Tamandua tetradactyla: one gene and its partners. The protein of the gene in region 3 interacts with the protein of the main gene of each other region in a biochemical or structural test. Links are inferred from orthologs where the notes say so. Each region holds a gene or a part of one and is shown on either strand. Other genes may lie near its edges.

Evidence for each region.
Region 1: the proteins of SP1 (region 3) and RARA form a complex in vitro, tested with the Homo sapiens proteins (2 studies listed by BioGRID). The link is inferred for Tamandua tetradactyla from reciprocal best matches to the Homo sapiens genes SP1 and RARA.
Region 2: the proteins of SP1 (region 3) and JUN form a complex in vitro, tested with the Homo sapiens proteins (2 studies listed by BioGRID). The link is inferred for Tamandua tetradactyla from reciprocal best matches to the Homo sapiens genes SP1 and JUN.
Region 4: of the proteins of SP1 (region 3) and MAPK3, one has a biochemical effect on the other in vitro, tested with the Homo sapiens proteins (2 studies listed by BioGRID). The link is inferred for Tamandua tetradactyla from reciprocal best matches to the Homo sapiens genes SP1 and MAPK3.

What each region holds. Positions count from the first base shown.
Region 1 is NC_135332.1:27,028,838-27,036,794, forward strand, and holds the start of RARA (retinoic acid receptor alpha), read right to left. Parts: upstream 3,018-7,957; 5' UTR 2,911-3,017; intron 1-2,910. UniProt on the Homo sapiens protein: Receptor for retinoic acid. Retinoic acid receptors bind as heterodimers to their target response elements in response to their ligands, all-trans or 9-cis retinoic acid, and regulate gene expression in various biological processes.
Region 2 is NC_135328.1:162,049,558-162,057,483, reverse strand, and holds JUN (transcription factor Jun), read right to left. Parts: upstream 3,004-7,926; 5' UTR 2,003-3,003; coding exon 1,001-2,002; 3' UTR 242-1,000; downstream 1-241. UniProt on the Homo sapiens protein: Transcription factor that recognizes and binds to the AP-1 consensus motif 5'-TGA[GC]TCA-3'.
Region 3 is NC_135333.1:114,748,431-114,755,472, reverse strand, and holds the start of SP1 (transcription factor Sp1), read right to left. Parts: upstream 3,013-7,042; 5' UTR 2,906-3,012; coding exon 2,899-2,905; exon of another isoform or gene 2,874-2,898; intron 2,642-2,873; exon of another isoform or gene 2,517-2,641; intron 1,850-2,516; coding exon 1,701-1,849; intron 1,392-1,700; coding exon 1-1,391. UniProt on the Homo sapiens protein: Transcription factor that can activate or repress transcription in response to physiological and pathological stimuli.
Region 4 is NC_135349.1:24,645,712-24,653,600, forward strand, and holds the start of MAPK3 (mitogen-activated protein kinase 3), read right to left. Parts: upstream 3,011-7,889; coding exon 2,829-3,010; intron 1,747-2,828; coding exon 1,564-1,746; intron 1-1,563.

The DNA of each region.
Region 1 (7,957 bases), on a different chromosome or scaffold from region 3:
CTCCCACAGGAGGAGGAGTGAGGAGGTGAGCAGTTTGGAGGGAAACCTTCCCAATTCCTGACAAATCAGTGCCAACCACATTGTGGGCACTGAGAGGGCAGGGCCTGGCTCCACACGTTGGTCTTTTGAGGGTAGAGGGAATTGACCTGTGGAAGTTAGTGCCAGTTTCCCTCACCCCGGCCCAACTGGAGGCAAGATAAAATAGTGCCCCAGCCTCAATTACGCTAATCTCCTGCTCCCCAAAATGTGTGGGTGCAGACAGAGGGGTTTCGATAGCCACTCCCAGATACCGTAGGGAAAAAGGCTCAAAGGAGAGCAGAAGATCTTGGCTACCCACATGTAAAGATGGAAGCCTGGAAGAGAAGACGGCCAAACTGCCAGACCTGCCACCTGCATCTGCTGCACCTAAGCTCAGTTAGAGACTAGGAGCCGGGAGTCGGGGTGCTGCAGTGCCAGGAGCTACTGTGCCCTCACTCCTCTCCTACTGGGATTCCTGACACCTCCCAGTGCTGGGAGAAGGCCCTCCCCATACAGTAGGAAGGAACCAGCTTAGCGACTCTGGAGACCTGCAGGGGAGCCCCGTACCATGAGGCAGGCGGGAAACCCAGGAGCCCAGGAGCCCTGGCGCCTGGCCCAGAGAGTGAGTGAAATACCTCGGAGGGGAGGAAACAGCCCAGAGCCAGGTAGATGCTTGGTGTCCCCAGCAACTCCTAGATGTGACCCATAAGGAGGTGCTGGCCAAAGGCATCAGCTAGAGAAAGTGAATACACTTCTGCTGAACCAGAGGAGAGAAAAAACTGGGGTGGTGGGGATAGGAAGGAGGTGAGGCCAGCCTGACTTCCCTGTCCTCTTGTCCCCATCAGAGTCGACATACTGACATGAAGCCCTTCAAACACCTCGGTGTGTTTCCCCCGTCCCTAATTTCCAGATGCCAGACTTTTGATCCTATACTTCCCAGGGGCCAGGTTGAGGAGTTGGCAGGCTCAAGGTGGCACTCAGGAGGCCTGGGCAGTGCCAGGGGCGGCCCTCACACCATCCTCCCACTGGCTTCCCTCCTGCCAGCTCTCAGCCGCCACACATATCTCAGCTGTCAAATCCGATTAGGGCTCTCGCCCAGTGAGCTGGACACGGAGGCCACAGGACAGGGGAGAGACAGGGACAAGGACTCCGAGCAGGGATGGCAGAAGGCAAGTGAAGACAGGGCTTAGGGGAGAAGGTATGGAGTCCCAGAGGAAGAGAAGGCTGCTGGAGACATCTGTCCTGTCTTGACCACAGGCTCTCTTGTGACAGCCACAATCTACAGTAGGGGAATTCTGTAGCCCCTGGGGCAATAACCCTGCCTGGCTCCTCCATCCCTCAGATAAGCAAGGACAGGGGAAGGAACCTAAAGGCAGAGAGCTTGACCTAGATCTAGGAAGAGGAGCCCATCTGAGAGAAGCCCAGACCATCACTACCATTTACACTGGGCTTTAGGATTTACATTATTTTGTGGGGTCTTTATGGCAGTGTCCAGTCAGGCAGGCAGGGCTTGCTATTGATAGCCACTTTTACAGATGAAGAAAGAGGCTTAGAGAGTGGGGAACCCTGTATAAATGCAAATTGTTAAACATCCGGGCTGAGTCTTAAATTCAGCCCTCTACTTCCAGGCTATTGCTCACACTGAGAATCTCTACTTCCCTCCTCAGGTCAAGAGCTGAACTAAGTCTGAAGCCAGTGCTTTATCTGCCCTGTCCTCCAAGCCCAACCCTCGGGACTCTGGGGAAGCCAAGGAGGAATGCAGAGCACAGCCCACACCTAGACCGCATTACCAGGGGGCATACCACCCACCCCACCCCTACTACACTGAGAACTGCAGGGGTTCTCCCAAAGAGTTCCCACTCTCTTCTATCACCTCCCCATTCTACTATTCCCAGAGGCAATATACAGATTCACAGGCAGTTACTTAGACAAGTCATACACCCGCTCCTGCAAACCTACCGAACCAGAAGAAGATAACTCTGATCTTCAGAAAGCAGGGCCTATCAGTCCACCACGGGAGGGGAAAATAAGCCACTGCAAACAGTAGGTGTCATCTAGCCTCTCCCAGAGGCTGCAGGAGGGTGGGAGCTACAGGGCCTCCCAGCTCTGGGGTAACACCAGGAGCCAGAGTCTCTGAAGCCAAGGCACCCAAGGAACTGGCATGGCTGGGAGGTCTTCCCATCTGGTCCACACCCCCTTCCCCAGCCATATGGGCTGAGTCTGTTCTAGCCTGGGTTATACTCCGGGATCCCTCCCCTTACCATAGCCACCTACATTCAAAGCTTACAGAGCTTACAACCACATGGTCTCTCCTCACATACACACACACCCCAGGTCAGTAGGGATCTTTCCAATGGGTGTTGACATGTTGGCAATGATGAGGGGCTCTAACTGAACTTTCCCTAGAGGGAAAGGCCACCTAAATGCCGACAACCTCCACCACCCTCCAGCAAAGCCTTTGGCCACCCAAGTGTGAGATGAACCTGGAAGACCTCAGTTCCCTCACAAGGTCCCTCCTCCTGCTCCCTCCACTCTCTATCACCCCAACATTTGCCAATTTTCTTGTCTTGGTGAGGGATATTGGGCAATACTGCAAAGGTAGGTGCAAGGGCGTGGGGCCTGGGCAGACCTTCCTCCCACTTTCCAGTTTCAGCTACAGATTGGGGAATGCCTTGGGGAAAATGCAGGAAGGGTGCTGGAGGGTTCAGGGCCTCTGAGCTTTCAGACACCCCGCTGTTCCCAGACTCCCACCTCCCAAGACACAGTGAGCAATGGGGGAGGAGGGATGGGGAAAGCCTGAACTGGCAAGAGGGAAACGGTAAGATCAGAAGCAGAGAGACCTGGGTAGAAAGCAGACAAGGGATAATTGGGAAGGGGTGTGTTTTGTCCTACCTGCTCAGGTGTGTTGGCAGGGGTATGGTGGGGTTCCCAGGAGAACCGGGGAAGCCCTCTCAGCTCGATTCAGGATTCCCCCCTGCTTCTGGTTAGGCTGCTGCAAGAAGCACAGGCTCCCGTTGGGTCCTAAAGTCCACTCCCCTAATGCTAGGATCTCCCCGCCCTCTTCTACCAGCTCTGACTAGGTCAGCAGGTGCAGAGATAAGGAGCTGAGAACCGATGGGAGAGAAATAACACTCTGGAGGAAAGATGGAAGTCTGAGTCACGGTCTAGGGATAGGAAAGGTCTCAAGTCCCAAATACATAGCACATGGATGACTTAGCTGAGGACAGGATATTACGGGAGAGTAGGGAATAAACATTTCTTCTTGACTTCCCTGAAGATGGATTTGGGCTTTAGTGCTAGAGATGGGGTTAAGATCCCTTTTCTTGTTACCCCTACTAAACTGGAGCGACAAGCACTAATCTTTGAAGGGGTGGGGTGCTCATGCCTGCTTCTACCTACTATCCTTCCCTTCACAGATAGAGCAAAGGCTTTCCATCCCTCCCCACTATTTCTAAGGGCCTAAGGAGCCATCTGAGGGGAAATATCTACTTGGTTTTCTGGTAAGTAAAGTGGGCAGGATGACCTGAATTGCAGCTGAAAAAAGATAGAACTTTACATCCTGAGGGTGAGGTGTGTGCATTTGTGTGTGTGGATATAAATACGCATATTCAGGTGAGGGTATGAGCAAGTAGGGCTAGGGGAGAAGGGAGAAAACACTTTCAGCTACATCGGTTGACAGAAATGGCAATTGTAAATATCAGAACAGAATGCAGAACCTAAAAGTCAGCTAGTGCTCTGACCCAGTCCTCAGTAGGGTTCTGGATTTTTACCAGAATGAACAAATTAAAGAAAGGGAAGTTTTCCCCAGATGCCATTTGGGACATAAATGTAAGGCAGAAGAGTTGGTCAGATGAATTACTGACTTACTTTAGGATAGCCAACCTTCTCAGTAGCTCAAAGAGAAAAACTCAGGTTTGGTGGGATAGGTGGGCAAAGAAAGGGGGGGATGGGAAGTCTACAGAGGGGTGGATTGAGAACATTTTGCAAGGAGGGTTGCACATTTCTCTAGCAGCAGAGCAGGGGAAATGTCATGGGGTGAAAGGCCAGGGAAGCCAGGGACAGACTTAAGGGAGGGAGAGAGCATGGCCTTTTCCTAGAAGGGGAAAGGGCAACAGCACTGCCTCCACCTCTGTCTACAAGAAGAACTGGGGAAGGAGCTAGACAGTAAGGATGGAGGGCCCCAGGGTGGAGTCGGTGATGTGAGCTCAGGTCAAGCCTTTCACCCCGAGGTGCCTCAGTTCTCTCCCAGCTGTTAAACAGGACTCTTGGTTCTTCCCAGGCAGAGTTAATGAGTGTTTACAAAAGGGCTTGGAGCTCCTCAGATCTCAGCTGGGCCACCACTAGTTATAAAGCTCAGTAAGGGCTGAGTGTTATTTGGGGAAAGGAGGAGTAAGGGAAGAAGGAAACAGACTACTCTCTTACAAACTGAGGATAAAACCAAGCTGCAGAGAAGCACAAGGCTCATCTGCCACAGGATATCCTTGTGCCCAGGGACGGAGGTCACATACCCCAGAACCTCTAACCACTACCAAAGGCTGGCCTCCAGCTAGCTGGAGGCAGAACCCAGACTAGCAGCTGGTCTTCATTAACTCCAGCTTTTCACCCCCCACCATGAACCCACAGCTTCTACAGGCCTAGGCTAGAGGGGGCTGCCCCAGTCCAACCTTGCAGCTGACTCCAGTGGGGGCACCACAGGAAAGGCCAAATTACCAGCTGAAAAAGAAAGTTGGAGCAAGAGTCCTTTTTCCCATTGGGAGCAAGAAGAGAGGAAGGGAAGTGTGGGGGTGAGAGGGTGGAGGTGGGGGAATTTAGGGCAACAGTAGGCAGTGAAGTCAGCTGGACTGAGGCCCAGAAACCCCTACACCCTGGGGCCAAGTCTTACTCTAGCTTTGCTTTCAAAGCTCATCTTGGCTAGGCCCCAAACTAGAAGGCCCTGGCTGCCCCTTTCTGCTCCCTACCCCCACCCTTATTAAATACACATTTTATCTCTCAGCATCTTCATTATCTTAACTGAAGGAGACAAGCAGTGGATGGCGGCAGCAGAGCATCAAGGGGGTGGGGGGAGGCACGGGGAGCAGGCGCACCCTTGTTATAAAGTGCTGATCTAGCTCTTTCAGGCAGTGTGGGAAACAGAGGCGAGATCAAAGGGAGTGAGGCTGATTCAGAACTCAATTAGAGCTGTTTTAAAAAGGAGCTTGCTTTCTCCTTTCGCCAGTCTTCAGAGAACCTTACCCAGGCCTCTTGTACCCAATTAGCTTCTACTGCCTTAGGGCTGGGGTTAGAAATCAAGGGAAAACCAAAGGGCAGGCCTTCTCCCCTATAGATCTTTAGAGGGAGACCTGGGCTGTTTATGCCTATGATGGCACCTTATTTTTTTGGGGGAGGATGGTGAGATTGACAACTTCTCCAAAGTTAAAAAGCAGGAAAGCAAAGGTGGGTTCCCTCCTAATCCCTTGCCAACTGAAGGCACAGCTTCTGGCCAATCTCCAGTAACACTAGGTGACATCCAGACAGGCACCCCTCTTCCCAGCCTTCAGGTAGGACTCTCTCCTTACAGCAAAATGTCCCTGGAGCAAAATGGAAGTTGCCTCAAGCAAAATGCCACATCAGAGGGACTGAGTGGTAGGCATCTATGAGGCCAATAAATGCCCCACAACTGTGCTAAGACACATCTCATAAGATGGAACACCCTTCGTGTGCAGGGGCCTGCTCAACATCCCAATGCAAAAGCACCCACAATGTTGAACTGTTTAAAAATGGGAAGACAGGCAGCATCTTACTGGGTTCATTTATCCATTTATTCAACAATTATGGATTGATTACCCACCAGGTACCAGATACTGAACTAAGTACTGGGGATAGAGCCAAATGTGAATAAAATCTCCACCTTGGCTCTCTTCTAGGTTTTCCTCAGTTGCAGTCAAGGTAACACCTCTTGAAAAAAATGTTATTTTTTAGTCCCCAAGCTCTACCTCATCTCCACACCCCAGTTCTCATTGGTGTATATTAATATGGCACTCAATAAAAGTAGGTACCAATGGTTGGGGGGGATGGAGTAGGGAATAGGGGTCCACCAACTTTTTTTGGTATCAGAGGTGGCAGCTCAGGCTGAAACTTGCGCCAACTTTATTGTGCCTGATTTTTTCCATGGCAATACCCACCAGCACTCTAAGAAGCTTGTTTTTTTTGGGGGGGGGGGGAATATATACACACACACACACAAATCAGGACATATCCCACCACCTTCAAGAGGAAAAATGTATGTCAGCATCTCTGCCACCACTCCATGTGAAGCAGCCGATGATCCTGGCAAAAACTAGTAACCACAAGCTCAGCCCAGCCCACTAAAAATTTGACCACCTTACTATAGCTCTTAGCTATAGCTAAGTGAGAAAAGCCAGCAAGGAAAGGACTTTCTTCCTCCTCTCAACCTGCTCCCTGGCTGTCTGAATTACACTTAAGACTTTACTGACAAACATACATCGGCTTTTGCTCCCACAAGGGCAGCGGAAGCCAGGCAGGGATTCTAAGTCTGCTTCACGCATCAGTGACAGAACCAACCCTGTTCCAATTGCTGAAGTCTTGAGAGCAGCAATGACCTAGAAATTGAGTGGGGGGAGAACTGAAGGAAAGGAAACCAACAAACCAATACTCAGAAAAACCTATTTCCAAATACCAGGGGAAAGGGAGAGAAAGGAGGTAGAGAGAAATTTGGCTCCTTTGAATCTGCAAATGTGATCTTGGCTGGCAGCCACGGAGGATACATTGCAGCCCCACTGCGAGTCAAGCCATGTTCCTGACTCAAGCCCCACAGTTAAGAGGAAGGCGCCAAGCCTCAAATACAACGAGGTGGGGAGGCTGCTCCTTTTTGGGCAGGATCCTACTGTGGACACAGAACAGACAGCAGCTGCCCACAGTGTGGAAACTAACTGTAAAGCAGTCACGTCTCTTTAGGTTGCAGTATCCAATAAAATGTAATTTAAATCAAGCCTCGCATCTGTTCTCAATCCCATTCAGTCTCTGCTTTCCATCAGCCTTCGGACAATCTTGCAATTATGCTTATTAACCCTTATAACCCCAGATACTTTCCCAACTTCTAGGTATGCAACTGTGCTCCCCGCTCAAATGCTCCATAAAGGAGTGTGAAAATGGTCACAACATGTAGAATCGTATGTCTGAACTATCCTCTCCTACACACACTAGTGGGTAGTGTTCATTTCAGATGGCTCTCTCTGTTCATCCTTCTACCCCATACCACCTGCTGCAGTCCAGATCACATTGCAGGGATACAGCGGGAAGGATGAATGAAACACTGGCCAACAGATCATTTGTACACATATCGAGTTCCCAAACTCAAGCCCAAGTCAGAAAGGCAAAGGCAGGCAGAAGAGCTCAGGGGAATGAGACTTGGTCACTTGTTCTCTGACAGTCATCTCACACATGGTTTACATTTCAAGCTTGAGTTATAAAAATACAGCAATCTCTTAAATAATCAAACTAGAACTATCTTCTGCCTTCCCTCAAAAGAAAAATACCCCAACCCCAAGCCTGACTCTTGAGGCAGCTTGTGTTATAGTGGTGCCCTCTGGTGTCCCAGTCACAAAATGCCATTTAATGCCATTGGGAGATGAATTGAACAAACCCATTAAAGGGGAGCTGTGAGGAACCATATGTATTAATTTATCTAATAAGAAAAATATGTGGTTTAGATGCAACTCCAACCCCAAACTAAGGCATCTTGAAACAAGTGGCTTCATCTGGGGGTAGCTAAAACAGTGGGAATGTTTGAATAATTCTCACATTGCCTTTGGAAAGCTTGTGTTCTCTTGAATTGCGATTGCTTAAAAAGACAAAAAATGCAAAGTGAAATAAATATATATTCACAATCCTTAGAGTTACATTCTCCTTACCACCCCCACAACCTTGGGAGTGCCCAAGA
Region 2 (7,926 bases), on a different chromosome or scaffold from region 3:
CACTTGATACAAACTTTAAAGCAACCTGAAAGACCACACTATCCTTTGGTGAGCAATCCTACATAGATAGTTGGGGGGAGGCAATAATGTAACTTGAGGAGAGCATCAGCTACATTTCTAAAGTCCAGTAGAGAGTAGTTTTTACTGCTTGATAGTAAGAAGCTCTGAGATTTTGACACTCTTAACTCTTTCAACTCCACTCATTATTAATCTACAGATAATGCAGAAAAGAGGTGGAGGATACTTTTTCAATATTTTATTGTATTTTCTTAAATATCCTTTCTGGAATTTTCAGAAACAAAACATAAAAAAATTATATATTTTATTACAAATGGTAAACTCAGAGTGCTCCAAATCTCTTATTTACAAACAACAATGGGTAGGATACCCAAACAAACAAACATGAAATAACTTACAAAGGCATGAAGCTGTTTATTGACAGTAATCAGCTTTCATCAAATTAAAAAATATATATGTACATACACAGTTAATGAAGGCAGGCCAGAAAGAGTTCATCTGTTGGCTCAGCCTCCCTCTCTACAAACCGTCCTCCCGCCTCCCCTCCCCGCCCCACCCCCCTTTGTGTTCTTAAAGAGTACTACAGAAGCAATCTACAGTCTCTATTGAAGTTTGTAATCCCTGTCCCTCCCCCTCCCCCCTTGTAATACTGAATGAGATCGAATGTTAGGTCCATGCAGTTCTTGGTCAATGTTAAAGAAAAGTTTAACGTTCTGTTCGCGCGGGTACAGCCGGTCCGCAAAGCTGGGCAGCCCGCAGGCGGCCGCTCCTTGGCTCCACACCAAGGCAGGGCGCGCCAAGTCCTTCCCACTCGTGCACACTGGGGGCGCCGTCAGGACGCAACCCAGTCCAACTTGGATACCCTTGGCTTTAGTCCTCGGACACTTCTTTTTTCTCTCTCTCGCAACTTGTCAAGTTCTCAAGTCCGTCCCTCCGTGTCATTTTTTTTCTCCGTTTCCCCTCAACCCCCGACAGTCTCTCCTCAAAACGTTTGCAACTGTTGAGTTAGCATGAGTTGGCACCCACTGTTAACGTGGTTCATGACTTTCTGTTTAAGCTGTGCCACCTGTTCCCTGAGCATGTTAGCCGTGGACGCCAGCTCCGAGTTCTGCGCTTTCAAGGTTTTCACTTTTTCCTCCAGCCGGGCGATCCTCTCCAACTTCCTTTTCCGGCACTTGGAGGCAGCGATACGGTTCCTCATGCGCTTCCTCTCCGCCTTGATCCGCTCCTGTGACTCCATGTCAATGGGGGACAGGGGCGGCGTCTCCCCAGGCATCTCGGGGACCGTCTGCGGCTCCTCCTTCAGGGCCTGCAGCCGCGGGTGTTGCACCGGGATCTGCTGGGGCAGGTGGTGTGGCGGCTGAGGCGGTTGTTGCTGCTGGGGCTGCGCGGGGAAGGCCAGGCTGCCGGCGCCGTAGGAGGGCGCCCCGCCGCCGCTGCTCAGCGCGCCGGGGTTGAAGTTGCTGAGGTTGGCGTAGACCGGCGGCTCGCTGTGCAGGCTGGCGCTGAAGCCGCCGCTGCCACTGCCGCCCGCCACGGAAGCCACCGCCGGGGCCACCAGGCCCGCCCCGCTGACCGGCTGTGCCGCGGACGTGACGCTGGGCAGAGTGTTCTGGCTGTGCAGTTCGGCCAGGGCGCGCACGAAGCCCTCGGCGAAGCCCTCCTGCTCGTCGGTCACGTTCTTGGGGCACAGGAACTGGGTGGGGGTCGGTGTGGTGGTGATATGCCCGTTGCTAGACTGGATTATCAGACGCTCCAGTTCGGGAGACGCCAGTTTGAGGAGCCCCACGTCGGGAGAGGTGAGGAGGTCCGAGTTCTTGGCGCGGAGGTGCGGCTTCAGGCTGCCCACAGGATCGGCCAGGTTCAGGGTCATGCTCTGCTTCAGGATCTTGGGGTTACTGTAGCCGTAGGCGCCGCTCTCAGACTGGAGGAACGAGGCGTTGAGGGCATCGTCGTAGAAGGTTGTTTCCATCTTTGCAGTCATAGAACAGTCCGTCGCTTGAAGTGGGGTTAGTCTGGGCTGCGCGCAGAAGTTTTGGGGGCCGCAACAGCGCGCGGACAAACGGGGAACACCCGCGCCTCCCCGGGCCTTGGGCAAGCAAAGTTTCTCTAAGAGTGCGCACACCCGCGGGCTGTCCTCCCCTAGGCGCCCTCCTCACCGGCTCGCTCCAGGGAACTCAGGGTTAAGTGCCGCCTGCACTCTTTCTTACTTGTCTGTTCGCGCGCGCTGCCCGGCTTTGAAAAGTCGCGGTCACTCACTGAGCGCTTGTCTGGCGTAAAGGTTCCTCGGATTCCGCAGACGGACTCGCTTCTCGGGGACACCGGCTCTCCCGGAGGCGCTGGTCAGCTCGGACCCCGCAGTGGCCGGCCGGCGACAGGTCTCGGCCGCCCCGACTCCGACGACTGTCCCCTCCTCCGCTACCAGGGGGAGGGGGGACCGCTCGGCAGCCGCGGCTCGCGCTCGCCCAAGTTCAGCAACGCGTGAGAGCGAAGCTGGGGTGCACGTCCCTCTTCTCTCTCCTCACTCCGCCGCCGCCGCCTTCTTTACCGCCGCCGCGGCAGCTTAAGGCGGAGGAAAGGTTTGCAAAAGTTCTCTCCCGGACCTGCGGTACTTGTTCTCTCTCCCGGTCGGGAAACTTCCTTGCCGCTGCAGCCACTCGCTGGACTTCCCCAGGCAGTCGTCGCTCTCCGCGGCAGTCAGTGCCTGGGCAGCGGGGCTCTCCTCCCGGGGGCGGCTGGAGAAGGGGCTCTCCCGGCGCTCCCCAAACACCAGCCCGGAGCCACAGGCTCTAGCTCTGGGCAGTGAGTAAGGAAATGGAAAAGAAAATAAGACTTGCAGGTCGGGCTCCACTGCCGTTCTGACTGACTGACTGTGTCTATCTGTCTGTCTACCCCAGTCGGCGCACCTCCACTCCCGCCTCGCTGCTTCAGCCACACTCAGTGCAACTCTGAGCCCTTATCCAGCTCGCAGCTCAACACTTATCTGCTACCAGTCAACCCCTAAAAATAGCCCATGATGTCACCCCGAGGCCTTCCCATTGGCTTGCGTCGCTCTCTGGGGGGCGGGCCCGCCTGTCGCTATGGAGACCCCACCCTAGAAGATTCTTCTCTGGGCTCGCGGAGGCTCACGGGATGAGGTAATGCTCCGCTGCCCTCCTACAGTTGGGCCCTTCTTTCTCCTCCTTTCCCCCTCCCCCTCCCGCGCGATCTCGCCTCTCTTCACCCGCCTCTCCCCAACCCGCCCGATGCATTGTGGGCTGACGTCTTGGGGTTTGACTGTCCAGTGACGGTGGCCGCCGCGAGCGGGCGGACGGGAGCTGACGCTCGCACCTTCTGACAGAGGCAGGCTCAAGTTCAGGGCTCGCGACAGGGATGCACGGGATGCGGGGACCCGGAAGGCTGGGGAACCGGACCAGTAGTCTGGGACCGAGGGTGTGTGGGCGGTGGCATTTTCCCACTGCGGGGTCGCGGCTCGAAGTCACCTACGGACATTTCTCTACCTCGCGGGACCAGGAGGCTGGCAGCCCGCGTCTGTGCCCCACCCCCGCACTTCCGGAGGGCGGGAACGCAGCCCTTAAGGTGGTTCTGTAAAGTCTCCCGTGGGGCGAGTGAAAGTGCGCTTCAGTTTAGGGGCGGTGTGTTGGGAGTCAACACCCTCCATTGAGAACGCTCCGAAGTTTGTCTTGGTCGAGTTCAGGAGCGACAGTTCTCGCCGCCGTCTGGCTGTGCCTAGACCCGAATGATTTGCATTGCTTGAAACTGGGCGCCCCGCCAAGTCTCCGCTGCACCCCATTTCATCCTCTACCCCCTAAGTCTCCTAAGGGAGAGCGTGCGGGGGGTTATAGCTTTGCCTCAGAGGGGAGGTTTTTATATGAGGTAGGGTTGGGGCAAACTCAGCGTCCAGTTGGGAACGAGCGTTTGTTTAGGAAATCCGAAACTCGGGGAACCCGGGTGATCGTCTGTCCACGATACATTCACCACTCCGGCTCGGATTTGCTTCCGGGAAACCAAGTCTCAAGAGTGGCAGAGACTTAGCAATAGTCACGCAACGCCTTAGGGGTAGAACTAGTATTCAGAATCTCTGCTCCCTGCCGGGTGGTGGGCCCAAGTTCTGTGCAGCCTCTAGGAAGCGCTAGACACATGTAAGTGGCTCTTTTTTCTGTAATTTGATTTCTCCCCACCCCCATCTCTCCCCCACCGCCCCCCCCCCCCTTTATGGGCAGAAGTGAGTGGTGTAAAGAATACCGAAATCCGGAATCGTGGGTTCTCTCGTGGCTCAGGGCTGCTATATTGTGAAATGAAGCAAAGCACTGAACTCGGTACTTCAGGTCCCTCAACTGCGAGTGGGACCCATCTACCTCATTCGGCTACCCGGAGTCAACGTAGCATCATAGCTTCCAGGCCTAGGGAGTTGGTCCCTCCATAGCCCCCTTCCTGGAAGTTTCCCCGAGCCTTTTAGGAAGTGGATGAAATGCCAGGTTAGGAGAGTTTGATTTGGCAGTACAAGTCCACTTTCTTGTGAGGAGCAGTAATGGGAGGTGGTGAGTGAAGGGGTGAGGGAGGAAAGGTTTACAAATCAGTTCTTTATCAGGTCTTCTGTCTGAGACTGGGGCTTGAAATTGAAGCAGTTTAAGTTCCTAGGGTCTAATTCTGGTTTTTCTCCTCTGAGATTGGGGGAATTCTGTCTTGAGTTCATAATCTCCAGCCTTAAGGTATTTGTGGCTTTGAGACTTCAGAATCAACAGTAAAACAGCAGCTGGTGTGGTGTCAGTGGGAAATCTGCCAATTTTTCTTCACTCTGGGCGCTCACTTCTCATTCACTCATGCCGCAGAGGATAACAGTGGCTACTGTGAGTCAGGCCCACTGAGGCTGGGGTACAGTGAGGAGGAGTGTGTAGGTATACAGGGGTGACAAGATCCAGTTCCTTCCTTGAAGGAGGCTCATTCTTTGTTTTGTTGTCCATAATCATTTTTTTGTTGTAATCAGAAAACTTGTGTTCTTAGTAATTTTTACAATAACAATAAGAATAATTTTCATATTTTAAACACTTACCATTTTTCGGGCAATTTAAATGTGCTGTTTTCTCCCTACAACCATCTTGATATATGTGTATACTGATATAATATATATAATATGTATAATTATTATTATCTGTATTTGACATATAAGGAAGTAAATTCAGAGAGTTTAAGTATCTTGCTAAGTCATACAGGGAGCTGGAAATTAATATTCCCTGTTATCTTCTTGGCTCTGGCAAACTTTCTTGTGAAATATTAGTTGTCTGCAGAGAAAATGGAGTTTGTAGGATAGGAGAAATTGTCTCGCCTGATCCTCTGATTTGTAACTCCTTTCAGAGACTCCGTTCAGCTCCCTTATTTAGAAATTCCAAAACTTAGGAATTTGGGTATATACCTTTTTTCCTGAAGATTCTGTATGTTCCTCCCTGCCTTATGTGGTTTAGTAGGCTGATTTTCTCCTTCTGTTGAGAAATAGTGTATTTTATCCAAAAAATAACAAATCTGTTCATGTTAACGCCCCTGCTTGGAAATCTTCATTGCCTTCTTATAGGAGAGTTCTGACTCCTTTGCCTGGCAGAAGGGGCCCTTCATAATTTATTCTCCTGCTCTCTCCAGTCTCATCTTTCACTCCCAGCATCAGTCAGGAAAGCTATAACAAGCAACCTTAACATCTCAGTGGGTTAACACAATGGGAGTTTATTTCCTGCTCATGTTCCATGTCCGACGTGGGTTTTCAGGGGATTCTGCCCCTATAATCACTTAAGGAGTCACTTAAGGAAGGAGCTTCATCTCGATACATGCTTCTTACAACTACCTTGGCTAGGGGGAGAAAATGAGGCATATCAGTCAGTGGCTCTCAGAGCATTCACCTGGAAGGGACACATATCATTGGCCAAAGCAAGTTACATGAGCATGCCTAACTTTAAATCTGTGTAATCCTGCCAGGTGTATTGAAGGGAGAGAGCCAGGAATATTTGGGGAATGTTAATGTTCTGTAAGTCTCCCTTTCTGTTCACAAAATGTTTGGCTTACTCTCCTTCCACAGGAAAAACTCCCTCACTCTTCCTCAAGGGAGATAACCAGAACCATCCATTTTCAGCATTAAGCTCACTGTCCAGGATTTCTGGTGCTGGTAGTAGAGTTTACATCAGATTCACATGTAACTCCTCTTCATCTAAGGGCAAGATACTTATCCTCCACACCTCAAAATGTAATCGTGGGACAGAGACAGTACAGCTGCAGCCAACACTCCCATTTGGAAAGGGAAGAATTCAGAGACCACAGCAGATATTGGTCCACTGTGCAGACATTTGGAGGACTTCTCTATCCAGTACCCTAATTAGACTCTGGTATCACTCCATGAGTATATCTGCCCTGTCTGTTGTTTTCTGTGACCCCTGGCTTTGCCCTTTGAGAGAGTCTTGCTTTCTATGTAGGCATTGGAAAATAGGCTTTTAAATAAAATTGTAATATTTGGGGGATATTGAATCCCCAAACTTGAATCCAGTCTCACATTCTTTTCGCAGTACAACTCTCAGAAATGTATTATGTTTCTTACCTTTTTGATTCCAGGTATTCCATGTGCTAATAGCTCAGCCACTATTTTTTTCTAAACATGTTTCTAAGTTCTGTGGTTTGTCACATTTTTTTCAGTTTTCTTGCTCTCATTTCTCCCACCCTGAACTTGATTTTGAATGCTTTGGGCTTATTGGGCTTCAATGGGAGAGTCATACCTTTTCTCCCTTTTCCTGAGCCATTTTGTCCAATTGAAAATATGTGCTGTGTAGCATCTTAACACATCTTATCCAGAGGTGTTAACAATAAATTTGAAGGCCCTCCCCTTGATCAATTCTTATATCCAGGCCTTCTTTAATTGGCCCTTACTTTCTAGCTTTTCTGTTTTTTTGGTATGCTGTGTGGCAGTGGTCACATTTCATTCTTTTTCCATGTGAGTATCCTGTTATTGCAGCACCATTTGTTGAATTTTTTTTGTTTGATTTTTTGAAATTATTATTTTTATTTTTATAATAACTTTCTAAAAGTGCCCAACAGCAACCAACAGATGCTACTAACATTCTGGTTTACAGCTTCTTGCTTTTGTTGGGTAGGTTCTTGATCTGCCATCTTAGTTATCACAGTGATACGTTTGTCAATTGGATCGTCATCCTTTCATCCTCTGATAACAATGTTCTTAATTATTGCCCTGTAAATGAATCTTTAGTTTTGTTGTTGTGTATACTGTTGTTTTTGCATTTCCCTATGTCTAGGTGCCTGTTTTTATCAGTTAAAATAGGCTAGATTATACTGCCATAATGAACTCTTAAAAAAACTCAGTGGCTTAACACCAAAACTTTGTTCCTTACTGATACTACACGATCAAGGCCAGAGGGACTCTGCTGAATGTTCTCATTTAGAGACCTAGTCGGAAGTAAGTTTCGTCTTGATATATGCTTCCATAATCATCCCAATGATCTTGGCAAGGGAAAGAAAACGTGGTGAATTCATGTTGGCTTTAAAGCTTCCTACCCAAAATGACCATGTTACCTCTGTTTACATATTATCGACCAAAACTTATCACATGATCATGCCTAACTTAAAGGGTACAGGATCATGCAGTCCTACTCTGTGCCTGGAAGACAGCTGGAAATGCACACCTCTGTCTAGGCTCAATTATACTATGGTAGCCCTCCTAAAACTTTACTGGATTACAGCCATAGAGACAACTTCTTACTCATACTACATGCCATGTCATACAACATGGCTCTGTTTCATACATGTCATCTTTACTCTAGAACCCAAGCTAACAGAGTGCCTCCTCTCTGGAACATAGCTGATTGCCATGGCAGAGAGAAATTAGCATGGTGAACTACATACTGGCTTTTAAAACTG
Region 3 (7,042 bases):
ACAGTAACTGTGCCGGCAGGGATGGAGGCAGCTGAGGCAATGGGTGTAAGGGTGGTGTTGCTGCTGCTGGTCTGTCCCAAGGAAACACCCTGCATTGGGGCCAAGGTGATTGTCTGGGCCTGTGGGTTCTGAACTTGGAGGTTCTGCAGCTGAAGAGTTTGCCAACTGACCTGTCCGTTGGGCCCCACTGTTGGTGTCCGGATGATGATAGGACCAGAGTTTGGAACAGCCTGAAGCTGGAGGTTCTGGAGGGTTTCCTGGGAGATAGCTTGAGTTGTAAAGGTCTGCCCTGACAATGGTGCAGCTTGAAGGGCCTGGAGGGCCTGTCCTCCTTGAACTAGCTGAGGCTGGATAAGAATCTGTTGTTGCTGTGTCTGCTGGTTTTGCTCCCCCTCTTTCTGTTGACTTGCTTGCAGTGAGCCTCCAGATGTCTGGTTCTGCTGGATGTTCAAAGCATCAGATCCCTGTAGCCCACTGATCCTTTGAGGTGTCTGACCTTGAGAGTTGGTCCCTGCTGATCCACTGGTGGTAAAGTTCATAATTCCCATGTTGCTGGTGGTAGTAGTTGTTGAGTAGCTATTGGCATTGGTGAAAAAGGAACTGGAACTGGCTTGCGATGATACCAAGTTGGCAGAACTGATGGCAGTCCCTGAAGTGACAGGCTGTGAGCTGCTCTCTTGGGACCCAGAGCTGCTGATCGTGACTGCCTGAGAGCTGGGAGTCAAGGTAGCTGCAGAAACGCTATTGACAGGTAGCAAGGTGATGTTCCCATTCAGGGCCACTGGTACATTGGCCACATACTGAGCCTGTCCTGAGAGCACATTATTAGCTAGGCCCTGAAGGGGGACAGCCTGCTGGAGGAGGTTTGGCATAGCAGCAATAATGTTGCCTCCACTTCCTCGATTTGTGATGATTTGTTGGCTTGCACCTGGTATGATCTGTATTTGACCAGAACCATCCTGCTGCACTTGGGCCCCAGTGGCAGCAAATTGCAGCTGTTGCCCATCAACAGTCTGGAACTGTGGAATTACTTGATACTGAATGTTGGGCATCACCCCAGGTAGTCCTGTCAGGACTTGCTGGTTCTGTAAATTGGGTGTAGCAGCCACAACATACTGCCCACCAGAGACTGTGCGATTCTTGGAAGACTCACTGCCGTTGCTGCCACTGGTACTGCTACCACTTTGTTCCTTTGAGGTAGGAGTAGCCCCAGAGGAGGAAGAGATGATCTGCCAGCCATTGGCACCCTGTGAGAGTTGTGTGGCTGTAAGGTCCAGCTCACCTGTGCCCCCAGCCTGGCCTGGCCCCTGGGAGTTATTGCTGTTCTCATTGGGTGACTCAATTCTGCTGCATGTTGCTGCCAACAGGGCCAAAGGGGATGGCTGGGATTCCTAGCCAGAAAATATAGAAAAGGAAAGGAGTTAGTGATAACAAGCTACCAACCCAGGGGGAAGTACATAACATAGAGCAAAATAGTGCAGACACATGAGCAAAAACAGAAACAAAAAGCCAGCCTATCTATATTGCTGAAATTCCTGTCTTTGAAGATCTCCAAGGTAGTCGTCTCTCTGTGCTTACTTCCCCACCTGAAAAACAGTTCTGTTTCTTCCTAAATTTTATTCTGCAAAGAGTAAGGCAATTATCTAGAAGCACTTACATCCCCTCAATACCTTCTTTCATTGTGTCCCACTATCACTTACTTGCCCTCCTCCACTGCTGCTACTGCCAGTGCTGCTGCTGCGAGCCTGAGAAAAGGCACCACCACCATTACCACTGCCCCCATTGTTGCCACCAACTCCTTTTTCAATCTTCACCACGGCTGTCATTTCATCCATGGAGTGATCTTGGTCTAAAAAGAACGAAAAGGCAAACAACTTAAAGTTAAGGGAAGAAACAAGGTAAAGTGAGAAAGGGTAAAGTGACAAAGGAGGCTATGATGAAACAGAAATAACTAAGAGAAAGGTGAAGGACGCCAAGGTAAAGAAAGTGGACTGAGGGAGAAAACTGTAGACTGTGAATAAGCTTAGTGGTGCCAGAACTGGGCCTCAATTTTTCTTTGCACAAAATTAAACTCTGAAAACATTCAAAATATGCTTTTGGGATTGGAACTATGAGGGACTGTGGGCATGTTGAAAGTTTTAAAATAAGAAAAAGTATGCGGGAGAAAAAAAGGAGAAGGAGAGGCAAGGCAAAAAACAACATGTGGGTGGATGGGAAGCTTGCTAAAATTATGGTTAAAGAAAATGGAGGAAAAATACGAATGTATAAAGTAGCAAGAGAAGAGAAGGAGAAACCGGTAAAGAAAAGGTAAAAAATGTGTGCGATGGGGAAACCCGCGAATACAGTAAACCGGTAAAAGGGGTCTGGGGTTAGATATCAGGAGGTTTCGGGGCGGGAAGAGGGCGGGTCCTAGAGGGAAAGGGCGGTTTCGGGGTGAGGGGCGTGGAAAGGGCGGGCCGGTGGGGGGAGGGGAAATGTAGGGGAAGGGGAGGGAGGGCCTTGGGGCAGGCGGTGACCAGAGGGCGAACCAGGGAGGCGGTTGGCCCGGGCGGGGCCTGCAGCACTCGGGCCGCCCCCGCGGCTCCAGCCCCACACAGGAGGAGCCTCAGGCAGGCGGACGAGTAGTGGGGGGTAAGGCCCGTCCCCCGTGGCCGGGGCGGGCAGGGGGCGGGCGAGGCCACGCTGCCCCCTCCCCCGGGGCGGGCGGCCCATCCCCCTCCTCCTCGGAGGCCCCGCCACTGCCCCTTCTCCCTCCCTTCCCTCCGCCCCGGGCGGGACCAAGGCCGCCGCCGCCGCCTCCCGCCCGCCCCCCCTCACGGCGGGGACCGCCCGGTCGGTCCTTGCGCGCGCCCCCTTACTCCCCTCCCACCCCTAAGCTCGGAGTGGACTCATCCTTACCGCTCATGGTGGCAGCTGAGGGACGAGCTCAAGGGGGTCCTGTCCGGGGGGGTTGGGGGGGGCCAGGAAAAACGCGGACGCTGACGAGGCAAGCGAACCTAGACCGGACAGGGAGGGGGGGTTAAGGAGGAGGGAGCAGCGCGCCACAAGCCCGGCCTAGGCTCCGCCCCTTCGCTGCTGCCCCGCCCAATGAGGGAGGGGGAAAGGAGGGACTTGCAGAAGAAAGGCGGGCAGATTATCCAATGGCAAGGCTCGCTTGCGCTCTAGGGCGTGTAATGCAGAGTTGCGTACCTGGTGTCCGCCCAAAAAGACCGCCTTCAAAATTTTAAAAACCAATGAAAAATGCAGGAAGTGAAAGTGGGCAGGAGCTAGACATGACGGGCTTTCAGGGAAACCAGTCAACGGCCAGGCGGGCTCCCTGAGAGGTAGGTATAGGGAGAACTTTGATAGGAGTGACAGACCAACGACCAACCAGAATCTTGGACGTGCCTGGGCAAAGTCCTGGGGAGGAGAAGTAAGAAGTAGGCAGGAATGGGATAGGATGAAGCAGATTAAAACCAATCAGATATCAGGCGGGCAGTCAGGAAAGTTATGATTGGGTAAAATCTGAAAAGAGACAGGTTAGGACTCATATTGACGTGGACGAAAAGCCAATTACCCGCCTAATGAGCTCTGAGGGCGGGAACTTGGAGTGGCCAAGGGAGAATTGGCGTCTCGCTCAGTCATTCGGCCCAACGAGGGGGCTAGGTAATCCAGACACCTCCCTCATATTGACTAATGGGCGTTACTTAGAGCCGCCCATGGTGGGAGGGGACTGGGCTGTGCCAGGAGAAGACCGTCGCCATATTGGCCCTCCCAGGAGACGTCTTTAGTTATTAGGTAGTATGCTTAAACCGAGCTTTCCAACTCCACAGGTGTCAGGCCCAGGACTAAGAAGTCGCTTTTGGCGCGAATTTCCACCCATCCACTCTGGCTCGTTTGAGTCCTTATTTAACAGCCTTTAAAAGGCAACGCTGACGTCTCATTCCTCCCCTGGCGGACGAATGCCTTAGAGTGTGGGTGTAAGCCCTCTGAGTGCAGGCATCACGAAATTTGGCGTCAGCGCTTGCAAAAGTAGTTAACACTTAAATGACCAATTTTGCAAGAGAGTCCAGCGAACGCCATTTCATTAAATTATCCGACAAAGGCACTAGTTTCTTAATGACCGGTTTAGTTTTCAAGAGCTTGTCTTTCAGGCTAAAGCGCGTTAGGGAATCTTCCGTACTCCAAGTCCTGAACTGCTTCTCCGATACCCGCACCCCCGCCCTTAATTGTAAATATCGCCGAAACATAAAGCAAGATAGCCGAGTTACTGCTTTTTATAACCACAGTGATGAAAGAAGATTTTGCACAAGTCACCTGAATTCTGTCCTCCATTTTGCATCCCCTTTACCCTAGTTTTGGTGGAGAAGGCCTGGGTGGCTTGTAAATGACATGAAGTTATTCTTTTAGTACTTGTATCTTGTATGTTGTCACTTTATTATCTGCATTACAGCACTTCATTATATGCTGTCATGTTTTAAAGTCTGGATTCTCCTAAAAGATGTTAAGCCCTTTGAAGGTAGGAAGTGAGGCCGCTGCTGATTTGGACAGGGGCTGGAAGAGAGAAAATGATTGTGGAGTGCCTGCTGTATTAGATACCTAGGTCCATTAGGACTTTGCATTTCTTAAGTAATTCTTATAAGGAAGATAGAACTTAAGTATTTGGGACATTATTATGTATTTTACAGGGGAAAAAATTGGGGTAACTTGGCCAAGGTCACAAAAATAAGTTTGTAGGTGCCAGATTCCAACCCAGAGTAATCCACAGAAATTTATTCACAGTTCCTTGTATTACTGTTTATATAAATGGGCTTAATTAAAAAACTGTTTTAAAAACTTTTATTGCTACCTTCTACCTCCTGAAAAGAAAATTTCTGCCCATACTGCCTGCACAGCTCAATCTTCTTTGTACACCTTTATTATAAAACTCATCACATTACGTACAATTCCTTGCATCTTTCCCTGGATTAAAGTTTCCAAAGACTAGTCTATATCAGAATCCTATGGGGTATTTCTTAATCAGGTTCCTAGACCCCACCCTAGACCTAGTAAATGTGGGTTAGAGGGTAGAATGGGTCTTCAGAATATGATTGGGAGAGGAGTGTGGGGTGGGGGTGGGGAGGTGGTTACTTTGTATTACAAATATTCCACATCCATGACTGTTCAATAGGAAGTTCTCTAAAGTGATGCCTTCAGCCTTGGCCAGTCCAGGAATGGTGTCATCTGACTTCCTCATCCTGCGAATTTCCTCGCAGACTGTAAGTTTTAAACTGGCTGCTGAACCTGCCTGTGACCTTGTGCAGCTCGGTCCCATTGATCTGGACGGGAGTGTGGTCCTTGGTGCCAATGGTGAAGCTGCTGGCGGAGCGTTGCCGCGGCACATACAGCTCCGCGAACTCGCCGGAGTGCTTCTTCCCGTCAAGGCAGTGCCTGGTGCCCACGATAACGCACGGGAGCCGAGAAAGGTTTGAGAACATGAATTTTTAAGTGGCTTTTTCAAGTAATTAGTTCCTAAACCAGAGTTTGGTAAATAGTAAGGGAAGAAACTGGAAGGAAGAAACTTCCTGGAGGGAAAAACCAGCATTACTCAATCTTGTAAACCATGCTCTGGAGATTCTAAACAGCTGTTTGGCATATTCAGCAAAGGGCCACACCTAAGCTGTCTAGGGCGGGGGAAAGAAACTAACATTTATATTGTCGAGCTTAATCCTTTCACCGATTGAAGAGATTATCATCCTTTTTTACAGATGAGAATACTAAGGCTCAGATCCTTTAGTTAATTGTGACTGTTCTGTTCAGCTTCAAAGTCTGTTTTTTTCCGTGGTTCTATGCTGGTCTATGCCTGAAATGAGAAGTAGGCTCTAATTTTATCCCAGGTTCTGAGGAAAAGGCCTAGATTTTGATCCAGAAATACAATAGCCACCTTCCTTTTTACAATCCTTTCCCTTTGTTCCTTCTAGGACAACACAGAATTCAGTGCCTAGCCAGTGAGGCTTGTCCTGGTCATATCCTTCCTTACTGAGAGAACCTGAGAGCTAATGAACTATGATCTATTCTCCTGTGAATTTTCTTTAGATTTAGTCCCCACAACCCCCCCCCCAATTGAATGAATACGTTTATTTCAAGACTTCTCAAATCCTTCACCCATCAGTGTCAGTCTATGCAACCATCTGTGACATCATTGAAGTTACTCCTGTTTTTAAAAAGCAATGTGGAAAATTTAAAAAAAAGTTTTTTTGAAGCAATGTGGATCATTTGAGGATTGTTTTACTTCAGAACCACTCTTATGAACAGACTGTGCCTGGCTGTGTAGTAAGCCTCACATGGGAAAAATGGTGGCATTCCTGTATGCAGTATGGTCTGTACTGCACTTATTCATTATTTAGGCTCATCATCCACTACTGTTCATGGTACTTAGTATTTGTTGAAGTTTCACCCAAAACCATAGGGTTTTTTTTTTTTGGGGGGGGGTTGTCTCCAAAGTCCAGACCTTCTGGGCTGTCAAACAAATTGTTATTCTTAACTTTGATAAGAAGGATTCCTGTGAGCTCTTTCCTACCTCCCCTGGTATGAACATTTGTCCATTATGCATTTTTGTTTTGTTTTTACATACCTCCATGAGAGTTATCTGTTAAGACCCTAGTCTTCCTCAAATAGAGTAGGTAATTTGAGAGTAGGGATGATAGCTTTTCATTTTGTATACTCTCTATCTAGCATGTAGTTGACACAAACACTTAGTGAAAGGTGAAACCTAGTCCCCACCATCCTGAAAAGATTTCCAGATGATCACAGTGCTAAGAATTGATTCTCAGCCTTCATTTGATTGTCTTACACAGCAGGTTAAATCATTCTTCCTGATTTTGAAGCCACTCTTCAGCTTTGGTCAGTTACCCATTTAGCTATCTTATAACTAGGAGTATTTTACAAATTAAAATACACAGATGAACTGCACAACGCAATTAGTGAACCCTAAGTTAAACATGGACAATAATTAATAGTACAATTATAAAAATAGTACAATTATAAAATGTCTTCATCAATTGTAGTAAATGTACACCAGTGC
Region 4 (7,889 bases), on a different chromosome or scaffold from region 3:
CACTGTTCTGTGGCCTCAGTTCTCCTACACGGAAAATGGGGATAATGATAAACCACAGGAGGCAGGGGAACATCCCAGTTAAAAGCGACAGTTCTGGAGTGAAGCTGCCAATGTTTGGAATCCCTACTCTACTACTCACACAAGCATCAACCTGACTGTGCCTCAATTCCTTCGTCTGTAAAAGGGAGGAAATAATCGTTCATTGGACGATGGTTATGAGGACTGGATGAGATGATTCTTGTAAAGTAAGCAGCTCAGGGCTTTAGGAAATGGTTAATGCTCAGTCAACACAAACTTTTATTACTATTCTAACTGCCTGTGCCACATGGCTGTTAAGAGGGTTAAATGAGATAATGTATGAACACCATCTGGTATGCAAGAAATGTTTGCTTGAAAATGAATGTTTGCCTTATGGGAATGATTTAGGCAAAAAAAAGTGAGGAAAACTCCCAACAGCACACTCCTACTCAAAAAATAGTCCTTGGCCATACATCAGAAGGTTGAGGAACAAATGTATATTTATATTTTAAGATAAAACAAAGATTAAGTATAAATGAATGAATGAATGAATGAATGAATAATGCCATCTGGCTCATCTCTAGAAAGGGCTTTTCAAGGATATCTGGACCAATCCTGCTGTTTTATGGATGGGAAGGCCCAGAGAGAGGTAGTGACTTGCTTAAGATCACACAGCAAGTCAGGGGGTAAATGTGGAGATTTCCTGTTCAGTTTGTGGTGGGGGCAGCAAACTCTGCAGTACAAATCTCCACTCTTTGGTGGAGGGCTGGAACAGGCAGGGTAATGGGTGTGAAAAGCTGCTGAGAGAATCCATCAAACCAGGCAGGAAGTGGACAACAAACTCAGAAAGCGAGATTGGGGAAGGGCAACAAAGGTTAGTCTGTCCCTCCCTGGGCAAGGTTCAAATTCAGAGGTACCTGGGGTAGGGCTCTGAGAGGGAAGTCAAAGGAAGGCAGATTCTCATCCGGGGGGAAGAAGAAGAAAGCAACAAGAAGCACTTGATTTTAGGCTTCCTAAACTTTAGTTTCCTCATCTTTACGATGGACCTGGTGAGGCCTATCTTGACAGAGGGCAGTTGGAAGATACGAAATAGCACTTCGTAGACACAACCCCTGACACATAGTAGGTCCTCAAGAAAAGGCAGCTTTCTTCTTGCCTGCCTGCCTTCCAGCCCAGGGATACAAAGAGGAAAGAATCGTCAGTCTATTAAGCAAGAACTGACCGTGGGCAGAGGCTGGATCACACCACAGATCTGCAGATGTCAGGAGACAAAGATCCCATACAGACCATCTTGCCCAGCCCCCCAGAGGCCCAGAGCAGGGATGGGACTGGCCCAAGGTCACACAGCCTGTCTGAGCAGGGTCAGAATCCTACTGAGGCCTCCCAACCCTTTTACACTCTGGCCTCTCTTGTGCTGGAAAGTTTCTTTCATGGAGTTTGTTTTGAAGGTTGGATGGGAAGAAGGAAACAGAAAGAAGGCCAGTGTTCCCCCAGCCTAGCTCCAAAGTCATGCCTGGCCAGCCATCTGGCCAGGGTGAAGGATACACATCCCTCATGGCTTCCAGGGTGGGCGCCCGCAGAATGTCCCGGATGCCAATGACGTTCTCATGGCGGAAGCGCAGCAAGATCTGGATCTCCCGCAGTGTGCGCTGGCAGTAGGTCTGATGTTCGAAGGGGCTGATCTTCTTGATGGCTACACGAGTCTTGCGCACGTGGTCATAAGCTGAGCTGAGAGGGCCAGGGAGATGATGATGGTGTGGCCTTACAAAGGGGGAGTCCAGAGCCTGGTGGCTGGCTCCACCCTAGCCTTGGCAGGGAGGGGAGGGAGCAGGAGAGGGCTCTGGCCAAGTCATAAACAATGCTGGTTCCTTCCTGCTGGTGAAGGGTTGGGATCTCCAGGGAAAAGGCTGGGGAGCAGCCAGGAGGCCCTTCGGTGACTTTACAAACAGAGGAAGAGACTGACCGCTCACTGACTTCCCCTCTCCTTAACCCTCTTCCATTCCAGTTGCCCTGACTCACCCTCATCCCCCCCCCCACCGCCCTTTCCAGAATGGGCTCTTTCCACCCCAGACAGGTTCAGGGGGTAGAAGGTGAGTGAAGGACACACAATGAGGCAGAGGGAGTTGGAGGAGGGCCTGGAAGGAAAGGTCAAGGCAGGGGCAGGTCTCAGGGTGAGGTACCTGGGCAGCAGAGCAGTTCCCAGAGGAACAAAGGCCCAGAGCAGACAGGGCGGCTGGAAGAACTTATAGATCCCCTCCCAAAAGATGCAGGGGGGCACTCCGGGTGCTCTCATCACTCACTGGGTCCCTGGTCCCCTGCCAAAATCCTGCCCCACCCTGCCCAGCCCCAAGCTCTGCTCTTCTCTCCCAAACTCTCTGGGACAGCCTCACTGGGAGATCTAAGGCCTCCTCTCCCCAAAGGAGGGTCCTTCACTCCCCCTTCACTGAGGATATCACCTCCCCAAGAATGAAATCTTTGCTTCACCCCAAGGGCCCCCTTCCCTCCCATGGTCCCCACAGCTTCCCCACATACACTCAGATGCCCCTCCTTGCATTATAGGGGGGTCCGTTCAAAGCCTCCGAGGCCCCTACCTTAAAACGTTCGCAGCACCCCGCCCCCCCGCCCGCCCCCCAGAAAGCACTCAAAGGCCCCTTCCCCCCGGACGCTCCCCGAGCCTCTTGAGTCCCTCGCCAATTCAGGACGCTCTAAGTCTCCAGGTCTCAGGAAGCACGCAGCACCCCACTCCCTCCCCTCCCTCGCTCTCGGAGCCCCCTCCTCCTCGATAACCCCCTCCAAGAACGCCCCCTCACCTGACCATGCCGTATGCGCCCTCGCCGATGTACTGCAGCTGCGTGTAGCGCGGGCCCACATCGAACGGCTGTCCCTTCACTACCTCCACTTCCCCCGAGACCCCCGGCCCGACCCCATCAGCTCCCCGGGGCTCCCTGCCCCCGCCCCCCTCAGCCGCCGCTGCCGCCGCCGCCGCCGCCATCTCCACCTCTCCCCTCCCGCCCGCCCGGCGGCTCCGCCCGAGGCCCCGCCCCTTCCCGCTCGCCCTGTCACTCGCGGGGTCGCGCGCGCCAGGCCCCGCCCCCGGGCACGCCCCGCCCCCGAGGGCGCCGCGCCCCCGCCGAGCTCGAGCGAGGGCCGGCGACCGGTCACGTGGCCCGCTCCTACGCGCGCCCGGCTTTCCCGCCGCGGGTGTGGTAGTCCTGGGCGCGACAGCTGGGGTCCGCGAAGAAGGGCCTGGGGGGAGGGTAGAGGGGGTCAGTGGCACGGCCAGCCCAATGCGGCCCGGCCCGTGAACTTCTCCGAGGCCACCCAGCGAGCATGTGGTGGAGCCAGGACGTTGCGCTGACCGCGAGGCGGCCGGGGGTCGCGAGACGGAGCCGTCCTCTCAATCCGCTGCAGCCCGGCCCTGAGGATGAGTGAGGCCGTCGGTATTTCCCGGGGGCCGTGTGAGAGGGCTTCCTGGTGGCTGTGGTCTGCCCTGTGCAGATGCAGAAACTGAAGCCTCGAGAGGGGGCCGGCACAGGCGAGAGCTGGGGAACCCTGAGGGCCTGGCCCCCAACCTAGTGGCTTAGGGACAAAGGCCGGACATCCTTAACCTGGGGAGCAGGGGAAAGGCCAGAAAGCTGCAGGCAAAGTTGAGTGGGTTTGATTAAAATTCGCTAGCAGGCTCTTCTCAAAAAACAAAAACAAAACACACACACACACAAACCAGCAAAGTAGGTAGTGTTTTTGTTGCTGATGGAGTTGGCAAAATTGGAATCCTGGCAAGATCATCATCTTTCGAATCTGTACCAGATTTTATAATTCTGATATTCAGACACTCAAATAAGAACAAATCACGTTTTACAGATGAGGACTCTGAGACTTGGGTTAACTGACTTGGCTAATGTCATAGCAATAATGACAGCTGAGACTCAAAATGATGTCGTCTGTTGAAGGGGGCGAGGCTCTCTAATTTCTTATTATCTCTCAGAACCATGAATTGTTAGAACTGGAGAAAAATCCCTTAGAGACCACCCAGCCTACCCCCTTTGTTGCACACTGAAGATGTGAGCTGAAAGCTTCACAAAAACCCATATCTCCTAGGCTTCAGTAAGTAATCATGTTGTTTATTTCTTCCTGAGTAGCTAGAAGTAGGTTCTTGTATGCCTTCCAGATCAAGAGACAAAATGGAACAGTAATTATGATTCTGAAATGGCTCATAATTGAATTCACCGCTAGGCAGTCTGACTCAGATGGGTGAGACTGAGTGGCTGCCTTTTCAATAGCTGGCACCTCTGAAGGTTCAAGAGGTGCTAATCAGAGCAGTGTTTTTTTCAGTTATTCATTTAGTGAACTATAAAATGGTGGTGCGAAGCTCTAGCTAAGCTCTGTTGAAAAATTACTGTACAGTATAAAATTAATGGAGAGGAGCTCTCTGGAGTCAGCTTGCCTGAGTTAGAATCGCATCTTTGTTACTTACTCCCTGTGTTTTTTGGGGGGTGGATTATCTATCATCCTCTTTACTTGTGAAGTTTATAATTTACTAAAAAGATAAAATGTACATATATAAATCAATTTAATTCAGGGTAGATGGAAGTATACCCCCCAAAATTGAAAACAGACACTCAAATGCATGTACAATCACGTCATAGTGGTGTTATTCACGATAGCTAGAAGGTGGGAACAACTCATATGTCCATCAACAGTTGATTGGAAAAACAAATTTTGGGTTATATATACACTTACAAGCATGCACAAATAGAATGGAATATTATTTAGTCATAAAAAGGAATGAAGTTCTGTTAAATACTATGTGTGACTGAACCTTGGAAACATTATGATAAATGAAAGAAGCCAGACACAAAAGCGCACGTATTGTGTGATTCCACTTATATGAATAATTCAGAGTAGATAAACGCTTGAAGACAGAGAGCAGATTGATGATGGCCAGGGGCTGGGGGGGCGGGGGGGAAGGTTGGGGAATAGGGAGTTACTGTTAATGGGTATGGGTTTCCTTTTGGGATGATGACAATGTTTTAGAACTAGATAGAGGTGGTGGTTGCAGGGCAGCATGAATGTACTAAATGCCCCAGAGTTATTCGCTTTAAAATAGTTAATTTTATGTAATGTTAATTTCATCTCTATAAAAAATGATGGATGGATATAATATGAAGCGTGGGAGCTCAAGGGTGAGAGAGGTCACTCTGGAGAAGTGAGGGAAGGATAAATGGAAGTGATATTTGAGCCATTGAAAAGGCAGGATTTCAGCAGGACCCAAGAAAGGAAAGGCAGCAGCATGAGCCAAGGCGGAGAGGCAGGAGCTTGGCTTGTCCAGGGTAGCTGGAATGTGAAGAATTAAGAGTTCAGGCTGGAGAGGTAGGATGGGGGAAGACTGAGAAAGGCCTTGGATTCTGGCAAGGAGTTTGGATCTTACTCAGTAAGCAGTAAAAACCTTTGAGGGATTTTTGCCAGATCATTTTGCAACTGCAGGAGCGTATAGTGACTCAGAGAAAACACCATGGAGTTCAGCACTGAGCCAGGTTTCTTGAGTGGGAGTGAGTTTCTCAGCATAGGAAAGGCTGATATATCTGGAGGGACAATTTGCCACCTCTTGCTGCATTTTTGAGGTTCATTTTAAGGGTGTGGTACGGAGACTCCCCTCTAGTGGTTGAGGTTGATATTTCCTTGGAGGAATGGGCTGGTATTTCTTAGTCTATTTAATTGATTCATATTCAGCTTCTATAAATTGAGCATCTCTCCTTTGCCAGGCACTTTTATGTACCATATCTCCTGTGATCTTCCCAATAGCCATATGAAATACATACCAGTATCTCCATTTAACAGAAAAAAGTGCAGGAACTTACTGAAATTGTAGAGTTGGAAGGGAATAATTTTCTCCACCAGGTAGTTCATTACTTTACAGCTGATTGCATCGTTAGTTTTTCTAATGGCCACTATTTGGCTTAGTTTTGTCCTCTGGATCTACCCAGATTAAATCTTAAACCCAGTTCTTATCTTTTTATGATTGCAAGGCCTTGTTTTTTCAGAGCACAAATGAATATTTTGATTAACTCAACAAATCAGCACGGCCCAAGAAGGCAGCAAGTGTGCAGGAATGGGGTGAGAAGACATTTAAACATTTATCAAGGTTTAAGTACTGACCTTTTTTTTTTTTTAATCCAGAAAACTTCCACTATAGTTTTCTTGTGACTCCTCTTCAAATGTTATACAGTAGGTATCCCCAAACAACTCTCCTTTGAAATAAGCATTCTTTAGCTGGCCCTTCTCTGAAGTCTTTGTAATCAGTTCTGCCTACCCCCTCTGAATCCTTCCCTGGACTAGCCTTCTGTTCTGGTTTGCTAGCTGCCAGAATGCGATATACCAGAAATGGAAAGACTTCTAAAAGGGGGATTTATTAAGTTGCAAGTTTACTGTTCTATGGCCATGAAATTGTCCAAATTAAAGCAAGTCTATAGAAATGGCCAAATTAAGGCACCAACAAGATGTTACCTTCACTCAAGAAAGGCTGATAAAGGTCAGGGTTTCTCTCTCAACTGAAAAGGCACATGGCGTACATGGCAACATCTGCTAGCTGTCTTTACAGGCTTCTTGTTCCTTGAAGCTCTCCTGGTGGTATTTTCCGTCATCTCCAAAGGTCTCCGGCTGGTGGACTCTGTTGCTGTCCCCAAAATATTTTCTCTTTTAAAGAATTCCATTAAACTAATCAAGATCCATCTGGAATGGGAGAAGTCACATCTCCCTCTAATCAAAAGTTAATACCCACAGGGTGGTGCAATGGTGGCTCAGTGGCAGAATTCCTGCCTACCATACCATGCTGGAGACCTGGGTTTGATTCCCAGTGCCTGCTCTTGAAAAAAAAAAAGATTGAATGAGGATTAAAGGACATGGCTTTTCTGGGGTCCACCACAAATTCAAACCGGCACACCTTCTTACTCCCTTCTTCCTCTACGGTGTCTCCCTTAATCACATTATATTCTTGTGACATCAACTTTTTCCTTTATGTAAATCTCTATCCTTAGTAATTATCCTTCTCTCTAGTTCCAGTTACAGATTGCCAATGTTTGTTGGATAGCCTCACCTGAGGCTAGTTGATACATAATTTTTGTTTGTTTCTTTTTCTTGTTTGATATCACTTCTTATATCTTCGTGCTCTGTTGTTAGGTACATATATATTTATAATTGTTTTTATCTTCCTAATGGATTTACCCTTTTATCATTATAAAATATACCTCTGTCTCTGTAATGTATTTTGTTATAAAGTCTATTTTGTCTGTTATTAGTGTAGCCACTCCAGCTTTCTTATGGTTGTTGTTTGCATGATCTATCTTTTTCTTTTCTATTTTTTTACTTTCAACTATTTGTATCATTGAATCTAAAGTGTGTTCTTATGATTACCCAGTCTGACGATCTCTGCCTTTTGATTAGATTGCTCAATCCATGTACATTTCATATTATCAACATTGTTGGATTTAGATCTGCCATTTTACTTTTTGTTTTCTCTCTGTCTCACCTATTTTTTTTAATTGTGAAAAATAACATACATACGAAAAAGCAATAAATTTCAAAGCACACCAGAGCAATTAGTTGTAGAACAGATCTCAGAGTGTGGTATGGGTAACAATTTCACGATTTTAGGTTTTTATTTCTAACTGCTCCAAGATACTGGAGACTAAAAGAAATATCAGTATAATAATTCGGCACTCATACTCTTTTGTTAAACTGTAGCTTCTCTGTATAAATCCACCATCTCCTTTGATCTTTCTCCCAATCTTTAGGGTTATTTGGGCTATGTGTCTCACCTGTTTTTTTTTTATTTTTTTTTATTTTTTTAAATTTTTTTATTAACGGAAAGAAAA